Struthio camelus: one gene and its partner. The protein of the gene in region 1 interacts with the protein of each later gene in a biochemical or structural test. Links are inferred from orthologs where the notes say so. Each region holds a gene or a part of one and is shown on either strand. Other genes may lie near its edges.

Region 1 (8,189 bases):
TATGGACTACTATATTGTTTTGATAGTTGAGTTATTACAAAAGCAACCACTTCACTGAACAGCAGACAACAGCCTTATGAAGGAAGCCTCCCCTTCCCGCAAGGTGTTCAGAGAGCAGGAAAGGTCCTACAGAAAATAGTATTATCATTCTTAAATACAGCCGACTCATGCTAATAAAAAACCCAGCCTTTTCTTAACTCTTTACACAGGGGAAGCACGTTGGAAAGTTTATGTTAAGGATATATCTACAAGAACATACCACTAGATGAAGGCTCAGAATAGGAGGTTTCATCGAGACATCTCTTTCAATATAACTGTTTCCGTTAGTCTTTGCTTTCACAGGAATAAACTGCTACTCATGCTATTCAAATATAAACATTCACACTCCTACAATTTGCAATCCATAGAGCGCACTGATTGTTTTTGGACGTGAACAACAATAGGGAAATTTATAGTAACTAACTACAAACACCAATAACGCTGAGACACCCGTTTTTACTCTCTTAGCAGAGTGCCCTGCAAAATCAACTCACCAGGACATACAGCGAAAAATTATTGGGCTTTTTCTTTTCCTCTTAACTTTTCAGGTAGTTACAATCACAAAGGCATGCAGCAATACAAACATTTGCATTTCTGGAGATGTCAATATGTAACAGGCATGTAAGCGCAACACACTGGTTTTCTTAAAGATCCATTCCTGAAAACTTTTATACGTACATTTAGATTTTTTACACGTACATTTAGATTATATGAAGTGATGACAAGCTAAGTGAAATCACTGACACCACTCGCTTGCATATGCTTAACCATACGCAGCCTTGCATGAACACGGCCCATGTGTAAACAGGAAAAGTTGGAAAACACGTAACTTTTGAGAACTAATCTGTTACTTGCCTTATATTTACCAAAGCACAGAAAGATGTTGATTTCTATTTCAAAAATTCAGGCATTTAAAATTAATTTATACTGCAGAATTAAGCATTCTAGACTGATTTACCTTCAGGTTCCAACGTGGCGTCTTCAACAACTAAATTAAATGAAGGTCGAGCCAGGGAAAGTCCAGCCATGGTGACCACCACCAGGCATATAAGGCAACCTGAATCCCAGCTGACCATCTTTTTAGTGTAAATTCCTGGTCCATTTCCATATCTCCATGTGGACTTTAATCCCATCTGAACACCTCTACAGAAGCATGGACAGAAAGCAGTGCCTTCGGCCACGATAATACCTCCTCGCTTGGAACGTCTTCTGCTGCTGTGGGAGAAAGAGAGATTTAACAGTGTCAGTGAAACCATCTCAAATGCAAACCAAAAAAACTTCACAAAGCCCCAAACAGGATTGAGAGTGGGAGGAGAAGGATGGGAAAAGTAGTTTTCCAGCCTCAAGAATATGTGAAAAGTGAGTGACTTTTCATTTTCTGTTAGCAGTTTCCATCATCACCTGAGGCGTAACCAAGTCCTCCTTGTTTTCCCCAAATCACTTCTCAGCACATATTTAGAGAGTTATTTTAATGACAGAAAAATATATAGCTTTAAAAAAATAAGAGCATGCACATGTGCAGGCACATAACCTTTAATATTACAAAATTACCACAATTATGCAAATTGTATTCTTGTTACTGTTTGACAGTTTATGTAAGTTTGCCTTGTTTTTCAGTCCTTCACCTAGGCAGTTCTGCAGTCAGCTGAATTTTCAATAATTCAGTAATCTTCTACAAGGAAAACAATTGAAAAATACTCTCTAGGCTAGAAAATCTGGAAAACTTTGCATCACTGCCTGAATTCCAACTCTTCTCTACACTTCCTTCCGCCTAGCTTAGTTCAGTGTCCATTTGAATGTCTGAGAATCCAGTACAGGTAAAAGGGTCCAGTCTTTGCAGCGGTACTTCTTAATTAAAGGGGATTTCAGGCAATTAAAATCCGTATAAAGTTTGATATAGATTGCCGTTTCACAGGAGATCTCCCCAGCATCATTTTCCATCCACACAATGCTAAGCTGCAAAGCACGCTTACCCATGCACGCACATTTCTGCTCATTCTCGCTTGGGGATGCTCATTGATATGTATTTTACAAATGAGGGGGAAATGTTTATTTCATTCACTGCAAAACAGATCATTTAAGACGAAGATGACTGTTCGGTAAATTAGCTATGCGCTGATGGAAAAGAGAGGAGAAAAAACAGCATCAAACTACTTGACACTGCCTTCAGCGTCAGACCCAGTGACCACCACACCAAGATGCCAGGTGTGGGTCTGAAGAGCATCCTCATGCTTAACAGCTTATCCAGAAAATGGCACCTTATTTTCCTCTCCAAAAATAAAAGTGAGTATACCTCAGTGAATGGATAAATCAAGTAACTGCATCAATTGTTCTAATCTGGCCAATGATCAATCTTAAACATGATGAAAGTTAACCCAAGTTTTGAGGGTGCCCATCTTGAAGGAAAAAAAAAAAAAGCATAAAACCTATTTTTCCCTCCTGCCCTCACCCTTAAAAAGAAGAGGGGGAAACAAAGGGATAAAGGAAAGTTTCTCAAAATTCCCTGCCATCTGAATGCGCAGAACACTAGAGCACCTCAACATGCTGTACTCAGAAACAGAGACAAATACTCTCTCCCTCTGTAAAGGCAACCATTAAAAAGCGTACTCAAATTTTATTAGCCTTTAGCTAAGACCTGGTACATACAAACCAGGTACACCGTATTAAGAGCAGAAATGCTGTTGCGGTGTTTTTTCTGGGATACTATACACAATAATTTCTGGAGTCAGTAGAAATGGATATTAGAAGACATAAATAAGACAGTTGGGGAAAAATCATTAATACGTGGTATTTCTAGTGAAGCCATGGTATTTGAAGTCAGTTTTTTTCACCTCAACTAGTATCAGCTCAATGCTCCATCCTCTTTCAGACCACAAGCTAGCAACCACTATTAAATCTTCAGTGAAAATACCACCAGACCACTGCATAAACATTTGTGAAGAGTTCTCTGAACACCTCTTCTTTAAATAAGTGCAGAGCAGGTGTAGAATTGAAGACTGGTTTGTGTTTGGTGAAGGACTGGAGCAAGCCCTCCTGGACACTATCACCCAGATCAACCCTCTGACTCACTGTCTGACAGCCACAGTGCTGTGGCTCAGTTTATCCAGCTGTAGAGTGGGTAAAAATCCCAATTAACAGACTGCATGTAATGCTAATTCAATTTCCACAAATCATCCTGTGAAACCTGATTAAAGCCTACGTATACAAATGCAAAATTTAATCATAATTTCGCAAAAAAGAAAACATACTGGAATGCTAACATATATTCCAGACTCTTTTTTAAACAGCATCAATTCCGTTCACATTTCAGCTGTTTAAGGCTTTTAGGCTACATTAAAAGTGATTTAAAGCATGCATGTGGCTCCTACCATCATACTAAGTCCTGAACTGTAGCACAGGGCTACTTGCCAACGCACCTTCTCACCTGAAGATTTTTGACAGTTTCTGTACCTGAACATTTGCCAGCAGAAAGAAGGGATTCTTCATCCACAGGACAACAGAAAATTTTAAAAATATCTTGCAAAGGTGTAGCAAAGCAAAAATCAGAGCTCTGGGTCCATCCATGGAACCAAAACACCTTCTACAGCCATGATAGTGACCATGGTTCAAGGACTGCCCTTTCCCCCAAAAAAACAGAGTCCAATGAAAAAGAAATGAAACCAAATTCTTTTCATAGTTTAATTGCCACAGTTGCTGGGGGACGATTCTCTGGAAAGACCTCCTGCACTGGATAATTATGTACCTCTATCTCAATGTTTGGAACACAGCCCCAGCATGCTTTTTGGCCTCCACAATTCTGGCTTCCTGACTACAATACCATAATCCCTCCTGGAGTCTCAGACTCAGTGAAAGCCACACGTAGTGTTTATTTTTCCCCTTGAAAGGGAACTCTGTCTCTCTTCTCAGCCTACACTTTGGGGAGGAGTTGTCAGCCTCCAATGATTGATGGCTCTCCTTGCCACTCGCTCATCAAGTCAATTTTCACCTCGTCACATACCTGCCCAAATTTCTGTGCCAAACTGACAAGCATGGGAAAGCAGACTGGTTTGGGAGCCTAACCAAATTCCTCCAAGCTGTACTTCAGTTTAAACACACACACACACACACACACACACACACACAAACAAGTAGTACTTGTTCAGCAGTGGCACTAATTAAATTCAATGCTCCATGTTCTTTTTAATCTACTTGCATTGTTGTTTATAAGATGTTTATCACTCCCCAGGGAGAGTACAATTTGTAGCGTATGTTAACCAAATCAATACATTGCTCATTGTATAACTCTTTAGCATCTTTCTCTACTAGGCACGGAATAGCAAAATCTGAATGAAACATGAATCTTCCCTCCTCAAAGAAAACCCAGATGCCCTAACAACAGCCTAGTAGCTTCATCAGAAAAGTCTAGGTACATGAAGCTTTAAAACTAACTGTTACGCATGTATATAATCACATGTATGAAAAACATAAATACACAAGTGTGTGTGTGTGTATATATACACTCACATATATATCTACATATACATATATAGACAACAAGACTCTTCATCACTGTTCAATCTCCAAGTAGATTTGAGCATCACAGCTATTAAACATTAATTCTGGAGGACTAATGGGAAACGGCTGGCGGCTTCAATACTTTTTCATTGTTCAAACTTCTTTCATTTGCTTTCCAGGACTATCCTGTTTTTCTCAAGTCTTTTGCCACTAAGAGATCAGAAAAAAAAAATCTGCATTTTAATTGACATTCCAGAGAGAGAGAGAAGTCCAGAGGCTGCTGATTGCTGTCTATTCAGCCCAAACAGGCTTTTCAGATGAAAATGAGTAAAGGCTAGTGGAAGATTTACAGGGATTTGGTACAAAGGAGACAATGAAGTTTTAAATGTTGATAGCGTTTCACACCAAACGCATAATGGATCACTGTTTGAACGGGCCGTTTTGCATTTAAATATATATTTCACTGAGGATCTCTTCTTTTCTCCCCCCCCCCCGCCCCTTATCTCAGGCGGGGGCAGTTATGTACCGCCTGGCCCTCTAACCCCGAGCATCGCGGCGGGGCACGGCGGGCGAGGACCTCCCGCTTCTCGGCGCTTTTCCCCGCCTTTGCGCCGGGCTCCGGGCGGCCCGTCGAGGCGCCGGCGGCCGGGGGCTGCGGGGGCTCCTGCGCCCCCGGCCCTACCAGCACCTCTCCGGGGGTCGGGAGCGGGTGGAGGGGGGGGCAAGGTTAAGCCTCCCTCCTAAAAAGCAGCCCGCTAACCGTGTCGCCGTGCCGTCACCGCTGCAGACCCTCCCCAGAGATTTCCGCGCACCAAACGGGCTCCGTTTTTCTGCCAGGCTCCCGCACCCCGAGCCGCAAAGACGGTCAAGTGATGGAAGTGCCCCCCCGACCTCCGCGGAGCCCCGCACCGCAGGCTGCGGACGGAGCCGCGGGGCAGCGCCCCTCCGCGGGCCGCCCCCGGCCGGGCCCGCACCTCTCCGCGGCCCGCGGAGCGGCCCGCCCCGCCCCACCGCCGCCGCGCACCAGGTGCGAGGCCCCCGGCGGCTCCGGCGCCCAGAAGCCGGGGTGGGGGGGGGAGTCCCGCTCTCGGCCACCTTGCCCCCACCTCGCCTTTTGGGGGGGGGGGTTGCATTTGCCTCCCGCTCCCCCCCTCCCCATCCCACCCCGCGCCGGCGCAAACCCAAGCGGGTGCCGTTTACCTGCAGGAGAAAAGCTCCGCGGGAAGGGTCCGCTGCCGCCGCAACAGGCGGGCAGAGGCGAAGCGCGGTGCCTCGCAGCGGCTCGGCGGGACGGGGAGAAACTCCTCCGCGGCCGCGGGTCACTCCGCAGGTAGCCCCGGCGGGGCCGGCTGGCAAGCCCGCAGCGGCGCAGCGGGGCGCATCCCCCGCGGGGCGCGGGCGGGACGCGGCTCGGCGCACGGCTGCGCGGGGAGGCAGGAGCAGCGGCTGGGAAGGCGAGGCAGAAACCGGCCCGACTGCTCGTCCCCTCGCTGCGCTGCGCTGCGCTGCGGCAGGCTACCGCCTCAGAGGGGCGACCCGGCCGTGCCCAGCGCCAGCAGCCTCGTCCCCCGCGCGGGCATCGCCGAGCGCAGCGCCGCGGGTCCGGGTCCGCTCCATCCAGCCTCCCTCCCGTACTCGCCGCAGCTTTGTCAAGCCGACAACCCTCCTCTTTTTTTTTTTTTCCTCCTTTTTTTTTTTTTTTTCCTCCCCTCTCTCTTCTCTGCACACTCCTCCGGCTACCTTCCTCCCTCCCCTGGTCACTCCCCCCGCTGCAACCCGAGCCGTTTCCTGGACGGCGCTGCTCGCCTCTGCCAATCGCGGCGGCCGCGGCGCGGAGCCCCTTCCCCCGCGGCCGCCCGGCGCGGAGAGGAGCGGAGCGGAGCGGTGCTGTGCCGTGCGCTGCCGGAGCCGCCGCGCAGCCAGCGCGGCTGGGCACCGGCCCGGCCCGCCCCCGCGCAAGGGCTGCGCTCCGCGCCCCGGTGTTCCCGGCTGGGCAGAGGGGGCGGCCGTGTCCCCCCCCCCCCCGGGGCAGCTGGGTCGGGGCCGGGCCCGCCTGCGTCCCCTCCGCGCACCGGGGCCACGGCCCGCACCGGCGGCGTAGGCAGGGCAGGACTGGGCTCCTCATGCAGAAATGGTACCAGCACAACATTCCCGGAGAATCTTTCTTGAAGTTTTTAGGGCCATGGCTGGCTGATCCGTAGCCTGTTCCAGCCTGCGAGGGTGATGAGATAACATGCAGTCAAAAAATCACCTTCGTCTCAGGAGCCCTTTTAGCGCAGAGCCTGATTTCAACTGTTTTGGATTCCTCTGACAGTACACCTTTAATAATTCTGTATGTGGTGCCCAAGGAGGGAAAGCTGTCAAAACAGTTCATCAGATCTTATTTGCCTGCACACACAAGATTTAGAACAATGCATAATATTAGCATTTAAAATTCAGTGCAAGTTAAACTGATACTTGCTTAATAAAACATTTGCTTTAGATATCATTAACTAAAAGGTTGCTAATACAGAGTCCGTGTAATGCTTGCTTTGTAGAATCAGCTCGGCAATGAAATCAATAAGCGGCAGTTGCCTCAAATTAAATCAGCGTTGATCAACTTAGTGTTGCTTTATTTAAGCATAGCTCCACTGTACCTTTTTGTTCTGTGCTCTATCAGCAGAGGGGATCTTCAAGGACTGTGACCCCACAGAACAGTATAACTCTGTACATACTTCCAGACAGCAAAAAACCTGAAAACAAGTTTTCTGTAGAGTATGTGCTTACCTCCCAGAAAGTGTTTTCCCACCATCACCAGCAGCAAGGCAGGCTTTGTGAGGGACAGCAGACAAATTTGTAATTGATTAGAAACACATTTTTTTCTTTTTCTTTTTTTTTTTTTGGTTCCTAGAGCCACAGACATTTGAATGTTCTAATTGAGAAGCTGAGATGTCACAGTCAAGGTCCAATTTTCCCAGGTCCAAGCATGTCCATTGCCCATTGAAAACACTGTTAATGCATTCTCACATAAATTATTGTCTAACACAGGAAGCTGCAATACCTTTCCCCATTCATCGATATCTTTGCATACTTTGAAAGAAAAGGAAGCATTCCACTAAAAATGACAAATCAGAACACCTATTTCCAATGTCTGGAAGCACTCGTCAGGAATTATTCTTCTGAGGAATGAAAAGATAGCAGTCTGTCATTAGCACCCTATTCTCTTAAATGAGCCACATTCTCTTAAAAGTGGCCCACAGCAGCCCCACTCCTCAATCTGAGAAAAGCAGAAGCATGTTTGGAATTAAAGGGGGTGGGGGGATCAATTCTGTCATCATATTTAGGCTTCAAGAGATCTCAGTGGGCCCAGGGAGCCTTTCATAGCAGTTAGGCTGCTGAATGAGAGCATAATCTCTTTACAGTTTTTTCCTCCTCCTCTCAAAGTGGCTGGAATCTTTTTTGTGAGCCCTCCTGCACGTGAATGGTGTGGCTAATAAGCCTATTAATGAGGTTCCACAGTGGAGTGTGAATAGGTAAATAAGCCCCAATCTGTTGAGGTTCAGGAGCAAGGGCAGTAAAGCCATCATGAACTAAAGGTGACAGTTTGAACTGAAATAGGAACAACAGCTCCAGGTTTCAAGCAGAAGAAAAGACAGACAAGGCCCACATTCAGAATC
Region 2 (7,445 bases), on another chromosome or scaffold:
TACAAAGAAACATTTGACTAAGAGGATAATTTTCCATTCTCAATCAACCTCTGTTCAATAGGCATCATTAGTAGATCAGTGAAGCCACAGTTTTAAACCCAGAAAAAGAAAAGAAAAGAGCTGAAAAGCCTGCCATCCAAAATCTGCCTTGCAATGGGCTCCAACTAGAAGGAACTAAAGTTGTTTTCTAAGATGAAAAGACTAGCAGGCAGAGAGGCTAATAATGGGTATATATTATCATGGCAACAAGGCTTTATTATTGCTTTAAACTTCATTCATGTATTATATTCTTCTTATGTTAAAAACTCTTATGAGCCTTGAAATGCTTAATGAAGTAAATCACAGTAATAGTTATGCTTTACATGTACCCATGTGAAGGGCTAAAAATACTAGCTTGTTTGAACACTTAAAAACAAAAAGATAGAAAACATTTGTGTATCCCATTCTTGAATTATATGCAGTATTCAAATCTGTGAATAACTATACTCAGAGACAAAAGCAGAGCTTGAAGACTATTTCATATTTATTACTACTAATAGTCATGGGAATAATATTTTTGGCAATGTTTTAAAAAAGATTTTTCAGCAAAGTTCTAGGAATCTAAAGTCTTAAACTTAACTCGTATCCAACCGTGTCTATAAAAAGATGCTGCACATCTTAAAGCAAAAGAAATAAAATATATTTAAAATCCGGCAGAAGAAATCGCTACATCATAAGTATTCTGGTAAAAGTAAAAATTGAATACAAACGTGCTAGTCACATAAAAAACAGAGGCTTTCCCAAGTTCATACCTGGTAATAAGGTAAACCAAACTGTTCTCTTCAATAGTTTATCATCTCAATTTTATAATCTTTCCACCTTCACCAAAAAGTTACTGTTACAATTCAATTCTGCATCTTACATTATGTTAATCACACTCCAAGTGTCCTGATGTCATCACAAATGGAAGGATTCCCTGAAGCTGACTGACAGCACGGATTATCATTATCAAGCTATTAATAGCAAGGAGACCTATTATAACCATGTACTATGTAAGCTACATTGAGAAAGGAGAGATTCATCCGACTCCCAGAAAGTTTATCTTTAGAATCCCACTCTGCTTTATTCCGGCTATCTCCTTCAAAAGTCAGTATCAGTGACTCTTTCTCCTAGGGAAATAAGCTGAGATGCCTTTACCTCTTAAGCAAGAGGTAAGATAGATTACTGATAGAGCTAAAGTATTCCCATCCTTTATGTTTCCTAAAATAAGTTACATACAAATAATTTGCAGGAGTTAATTAACAAAAAAAGAAAATTGTTATAGATTTGTCAATTACTTTACAATAATTTTTTTCTTAGAATCTCCTGCATCCCATTCCAGTTTTCCTGTAGAATTAAATCAGCTCGACGTGTTCTAGATGAATAATGGAGTAAACAAATACAAATGAACGATGTTTCAGGGATTTGTTTTGAAAATTGCTAAGAAAACCATGTTTGCCTCCAAAAAGTAGCTTCCAAGGTGAGTGAAGAGAGATAAAAGATTATTATGTGTTTCTGTTTGAATTGGAGGCCTGGGCACAATCCTTATAACTGGAAACAAAGTGCTTGCTGTTCATTTGCCGTCTTTTCAGGACGCGCACTGCAGCAGTGCTGTGAACATTTGCCTGCCAATCAGGCAGAAACCGAAACAAGGGTTACTGTAAAGGGAGCAGGTTGAGTTAAACATTAAAGGATGGCTTAAAGTGTGTGAATTTTATGCATTTCTCTTTAAGGTTTCATGTTTCCTGTAGTCATGATGCCTTAACACATTTCTTCAAATACATCTTGCCAAAGAAATACAAAATTTCTAGCATTTTAGGGGAACTATTTCTCTGTTTTATTAAAGAATTGCTTGGGGTTTGATTTTAAAAGTCCTGGGCATGTATGTTTGTAAGAAGATAGAGGAAGAAGTGAAACTCAAGCCAACTGCATGATCTTCCATAAAACTAAAATAGGTCAATTTGAGAGAGGAATTAGTTATGCTTGTCTTGAACAGAAGTGGGCTGAATCAATCAAGGGACCTGAGATTTATGTGAGAAATCCTGACTTGCGTATGCAGATCAAGATGGCGCTCCTTCATTAAAAAATATGCAGTTGTACTTATATAGTAAGACATAAAACTGTGTGATTAAACAATACTACAGTTAAAACATTTTGGAAAAAGTTATTCTAAAATTAGACAATGTGAGGACATGAAAGTTAGCAGTAATTAAAGATTAACTACATTGTTCACTGACTAAACTTACAGCTAGTGCCTTATTTAAACTGCTTTTCAATTATTCTAAATACAAAACTTCATAAAGATCTGAACTGAAGCACCACTTCAAAATATACTTAAGGCAATTGATTTATTCTGCAGAGCCAAGAGAAATACATGCCTATGCCTGGACACAAGTAGCTCCAGCTTTCTGAAACTGAAACTTCAGGTATGTATTTTTCCCCCTCTCTTACTAACAGTCAGAAAAAGAAACAGCAAGTTAGTAAAGAGAAAGAAAAATGAAAAAAAGTAAGTATGGATCTGAAAGTGAAAGTTGTTACTGCTCATAAAAGACTCAGAATATTTACAAAAATATTTCTGCTTGCATCCTACTTTGAGAAGTAAGACATAGATTACATTTTATCCTTCATTGCTTTCTTTATAATACACAATAGATAAGCCTTGTGAATGCCTCAGATTTTTTTCATTGCTATCATTCTGAACTCAGGCTGTGGAATGGATCTGAGAACATACTGATACACACACAACAAATGTACTGGCAAAAGCGCAACCGCAGCAAGTCCTTTCAGTTGCCACTTCTGGTCAGAATAGTAGTCATGGGTTGACAGGATACAAGCAAATTGGGAACAGCAGTGATCACAGTTTACAGGGGTTAGCCTTAATGAGAGCCACTTCCTTGTGTATCTACTGGAGGCATCCAGCCTCTGAAAGGTACACAGTGCCACCTCTTCCCTACCTTGTGAGGTGTATACATCAAGCTCTTTGCTGAATTAGGAAATTTTAGTTGAGTGACAGAACACGCAAAACAGCCCAATAGGCTGAAACGGAGATAATGAGAAGGAAAGTTGATTACCTTTGGACTTTGAGGGAAAATAGTTTTAAAAAAAAAAAGTTGCAAGTGACAAATGGGATTAATCCAAGAGAGCTCTGAGGAAGAAGTCAGGGACTTCAAGGAAGGAAATGATCCATTCTCTATGTTTGTGTACAGGAAAGGCTGGGTAATATAAGGTCCCCTGGTGTCATATACCTTTGATGCTCATTTTGGAATATTTCAGTGAAAAACCCTGCTTTACTATGTTCCCTGTACCACAAGGTGGCACATACGTACTCCCTATCATTTTTAAATGCCTCTACAGTTTGTTAATCAAGTTTTAAGAAGTAACTGTTCCCATTTCTACAGAGTGAGGAGTAGGGGTGGGAGAAAAAACAGGGAAAGACAAACTACAATATAGTACCAATTATAGACAACTAAGGCAAGTAAACTGTTCTTGATGTATCCATTCCTTACAGAAAACCACAGTTTCCATATGTTTTACAAATACATTCATCAGAATCCCAACAGAATCTTTTCAGGCTGAAATGGAACATAGGCTTTGGATAGCAGGCTAGTGCCACAGCTGGAAGTAAGCATATAGAAGCGGAAAACCTGGCATATTTAGCCATTACTTGGATCCTCTACAATTTAAGCCTGCTGGTCATCCATTGGTCAATGTGCTGTATATAGGTGTTACTTGCATTGCAGCAACTTTTCATTCTCATGTTGTGAGTTTCAGGACCTAATAACTACATATGCTAAGGAAGACTGTTTCCTAGTAGTTCTTTTTCTCCTTCATGCTGATAAAAGTTGTGCTTGAATGTCAGATATCCAAATATATAGTCTTATTTTCCCCTAGTGGCCAATTAAATAAAAATCTCAGTGATTTTCTGTGCAGTTGCTCCTCTTTTATAAGTCTATGATACACAAATGCGACGCACAATCTATAATGGCCACAGCACACCCTCTCCACAGTACATAACAAGCCCACATGTTTCATTTATCCATCAGAAAGGCAGTAAGCAGAGAAAACAGTATGAATCTATCAAACTGCAAAAAAGATTTGAAGGAAAACTGAGATAAAGGTGTGTGTGAAAGAGAGGATTTATTTTTTTTTTAAGGACAGAAAAATATTGACTTAAATCAAAGAACAGAAACGCTAGCTGGCACGTAAAGCAACACCATAGGATATACGTTTTTAGAAAGTAGATTCTTGGGAGATTTAAAATATAAACTATGTACATAGCTCCCTCTGATGACCACTGGACACTATACAGCACAAGTCTCCTTTTATTTTTGTTCGTGGATTCAACTGACAGCTGACTGGTTAAATTCTAATTGCTTCCAAGTGAGGTCAGCAAAGGTATTTATCGAAAAGGACTGAACAACAGGCTCAACACACACATGCATGCATAAGCACATACACACCATCTCTCTAGCGTCTTGATTTATGGAAACAATTATAATTCTGGTGGAGTCTTTCTGAGCTCAGAAAGTCTGTAGCTACAGCACAGTCTCATGTTGCAAAACGCAGACAACAGAAATGGAATACTTGGGTATCCAGCTGTTATCAACAGAAACAAGTAAGTTATCTGCCCTTACAAGAACGTTCAACAGTTAACTAATAGCTAATAGCTTTTATCTTGATTTCTATTTGTTAGACGCTAAAAAAGTGTTGACTAATTTTTCTATCAATAAACTGAAAATGAACGTATAAAAAGAAAGCAATAAGGCTCCATGTGGTCTCTCTTGAAATTTGGACTAGAGAAATGTTCTCTGATAGAATGTGGCTAATAGTGAAGATATAGGTACGAAGTAATCAGTAGTATTTTTCAGTGCATGAGAACATAGTTCAGCTGACTTACTAGGGTTTTTTTGGAAGGACTTATAACTGAACTGAAGATAGAAGTATGTTTACAATCAGTTTAAATGTCTGTTTATGTAAAAAGCTATATAAAGATATCTGTTGTATATACATTTGTGTATATTTAAAAACCAGCTTAGCATGTCATACATTTATGTACGGTACATTTAAGTAGTATAATATATTCTTGCACGTTTGTAACGACTGATCATAAAATACTTACTTACACATGCAACTTTTCTCACAGATCTTTTACTTGCAGTGCAAGCAGCAAATTCAAGTAGTACAGAAGGTCACAGCAACAAAGGTTTTTATAACTTGTGTCTTTAAAGGATATTTTGACTGAAAAGATATTTAAGAAGCTCTTCCATTTCGCCATTAACTATTAAGGAATAAGGATCAGAATTCTTAGAAGAGGGAACAATCTCATTTAAATCAATCTGTAACTCATAAAGACAGAAGGCAGGTCGGTGACCTAAGAGCAACAGTCTACTTGAGATTTAATTTTCATTATGTTGTTCATGAACACCCAGAACACTGCACTATAATGCACAAATGGATACTGACATGGATCCTGCCAATTTTGCTCTACAGATCATACTTTTACCTTATCTTTCTAATGGGCACTATATCTTTAGCTTGCAATGACATGACTCCAGAGCAAATGGCTACAAATGTGAACTGTTCCAGCCCTGAGCGACATACCAGAAGCTATGATTATATGGAAGGGGGGGATGTAAGAGTGAGAAGACTTTTCTGTCGAACTCAGTGGTATATGAGGATTGATAAGCGAGGCAAAGTAAAAGGGACAAGAGAAGCAAACAACAACTACAGTAAGTAATATCTTTTGCTATCTGCTATTTGTCTTCTAAGTTTTTAGAAAAATCACGCATCATTGTTTCCTATCCCTTAACTCACAGTAATTTCAAAATAATTTTGTATAGCATACTGACCATTGTATAAGACAAGTTTTCCAACTAATCCTACAGCAAACATTTGTTATTGATTTTGAAATGCGTCATTTTAAATACTACATTGTAGATCTGCTAATGTATTAGTTACAGCTGGTAACTATTAGCAAACAGAGAGCCTATTTTAACAAGTGAATTAAGGTTGTAAGTATGAAAATGCTTAACCACAAATTCTGCTCATAAAATACTTATGAAACATTAAACCACATTTATATAGTCCACAGACTACCTACAAGTTTAGTATGTTTGAGTTAACAATTAAAACATATGCAATACTAGAAAGTTCAATGGAAAGAATTATGTAAACTGTCTTACAAAATCTTTTAGATATTTTGCCAAGTCAGGAACAAAATCTATTATAGTTTCTGCAGTTCATTATTACAACGATCATGATGATGAAAAAATATTCTCTCCTCTTTCTTCCAAAGAGATGACTCATCTAGAGAGAATGGACATATAAAATTTTGCAAAGTCCTACCAAATACAATTTTTGAACTGGCAAAAGAATCATTGTTCTAAAATATATTTTTCACGTATATACCTGTAGAACTTTCATTTACAACTACTTGAAGGCATCATTTTTACATTCACTATTTTTGCCAATTTGGCTTTTTTGTTATCACAAATATAGTGTATATTTGGAGTCCTTTAAAAGACTCTATATTCATTTCTTAAAATATAGCAGAAAAAAGCATAGGATTTTATTACATATTTCAAAACAAAATGACAAGGAAAAAGGGCCAGAGACATGCTGGTCTAGTGTTTACAGTCTACTGAAAGGACAAATATCTGTCCAAGAATGCAATTAAATGGAGTTTTAATGTATGTTGCACATATTACTGTGCCTTATATAACAGTTAAAAAAAAAAAAAAACTTCAAGAACTGTTAATGTGTTTCAGCTTTCAACTGAAGATGACTGCTTATTTTCTACAAAAACAGCACTTTTCAATGCTAAGTGCCTAGCTAGTGGGCTTCATAATGTATTGCTCTACTTCACGACTGCATTAAGTATTTGGCATCTTGTGTGGCTAAAACTTCATTGACTAATGTTACTTTCTTTTAAAATTTGTTTCTATATGCCTGCTTTCTTCCTACACTATTATATTCTGTAAAACCATAATGATCTGAAAGGTACCACATGGCCAGAAGCCAAATAAATTATTTGGTCCATATTCAAGACTCTCTCCAAGTTTCAGGAAGACAGTGCTAGAATAAAGACCTATAGGACTAGTTTAGAAGTGAAATGTTGCTCCCATAGACGTCCATAGAAAAACTGCTACTGACTGTTGAAATAGTTTCTTCTTTTTTTTTTTTTTTTGGCGGAGAAATTAATATCCATTCTACCCATTTTGTTCCTGTTATTATTTAGACAGAAATACTTTGAAGAGATTATGTCAACATATAGAGCTAAATAATTATATAAATTTGCTTTTTGTGGTCCCATGCTGCTTAACTAAGGACTTGGTTAGTAATTGAGCATTATTTCAAAATTCAAGCAAAGACTCTCAATGCTCTGCAGGATTCCATGCTGCTGAAGCACGCTAATGATACCCTGAAAT

Evidence for each region.
Region 2: the proteins of FGFR2 (region 1) and FGF7 form a complex in vitro, tested with the Homo sapiens proteins (3 studies listed by BioGRID). The link is inferred for Struthio camelus from reciprocal best matches to the Homo sapiens genes FGFR2 and FGF7.

Annotation. Positions count from the first base shown.
Region 1 is NC_090948.1:6,146,641-6,154,829, reverse strand, and holds the start of FGFR2 (fibroblast growth factor receptor 2), read right to left. Parts: upstream 3,533-8,189; 5' UTR 3,498-3,532; coding exon 3,490-3,497; intron 1,255-3,489; coding exon 998-1,254; intron 1-997. UniProt on the Homo sapiens protein: Tyrosine-protein kinase that acts as a cell-surface receptor for fibroblast growth factors and plays an essential role in the regulation of cell proliferation, differentiation, migration and apoptosis, and in the regulation of embryonic development.
Region 2 is NC_090953.1:12,915,512-12,922,956, reverse strand, and holds the start of FGF7 (fibroblast growth factor 7), read left to right. Parts: upstream 1-4,445; 5' UTR 4,446-4,568; coding exon 4,569-4,633; intron 4,634-5,161; exon of another isoform or gene 5,162-5,461; coding exon of another isoform or gene 5,462-5,508; coding exon 5,509-5,747; intron 5,748-7,445. UniProt on the Homo sapiens protein: Plays an important role in the regulation of embryonic development, cell proliferation and cell differentiation. Required for normal branching morphogenesis. Growth factor active on keratinocytes.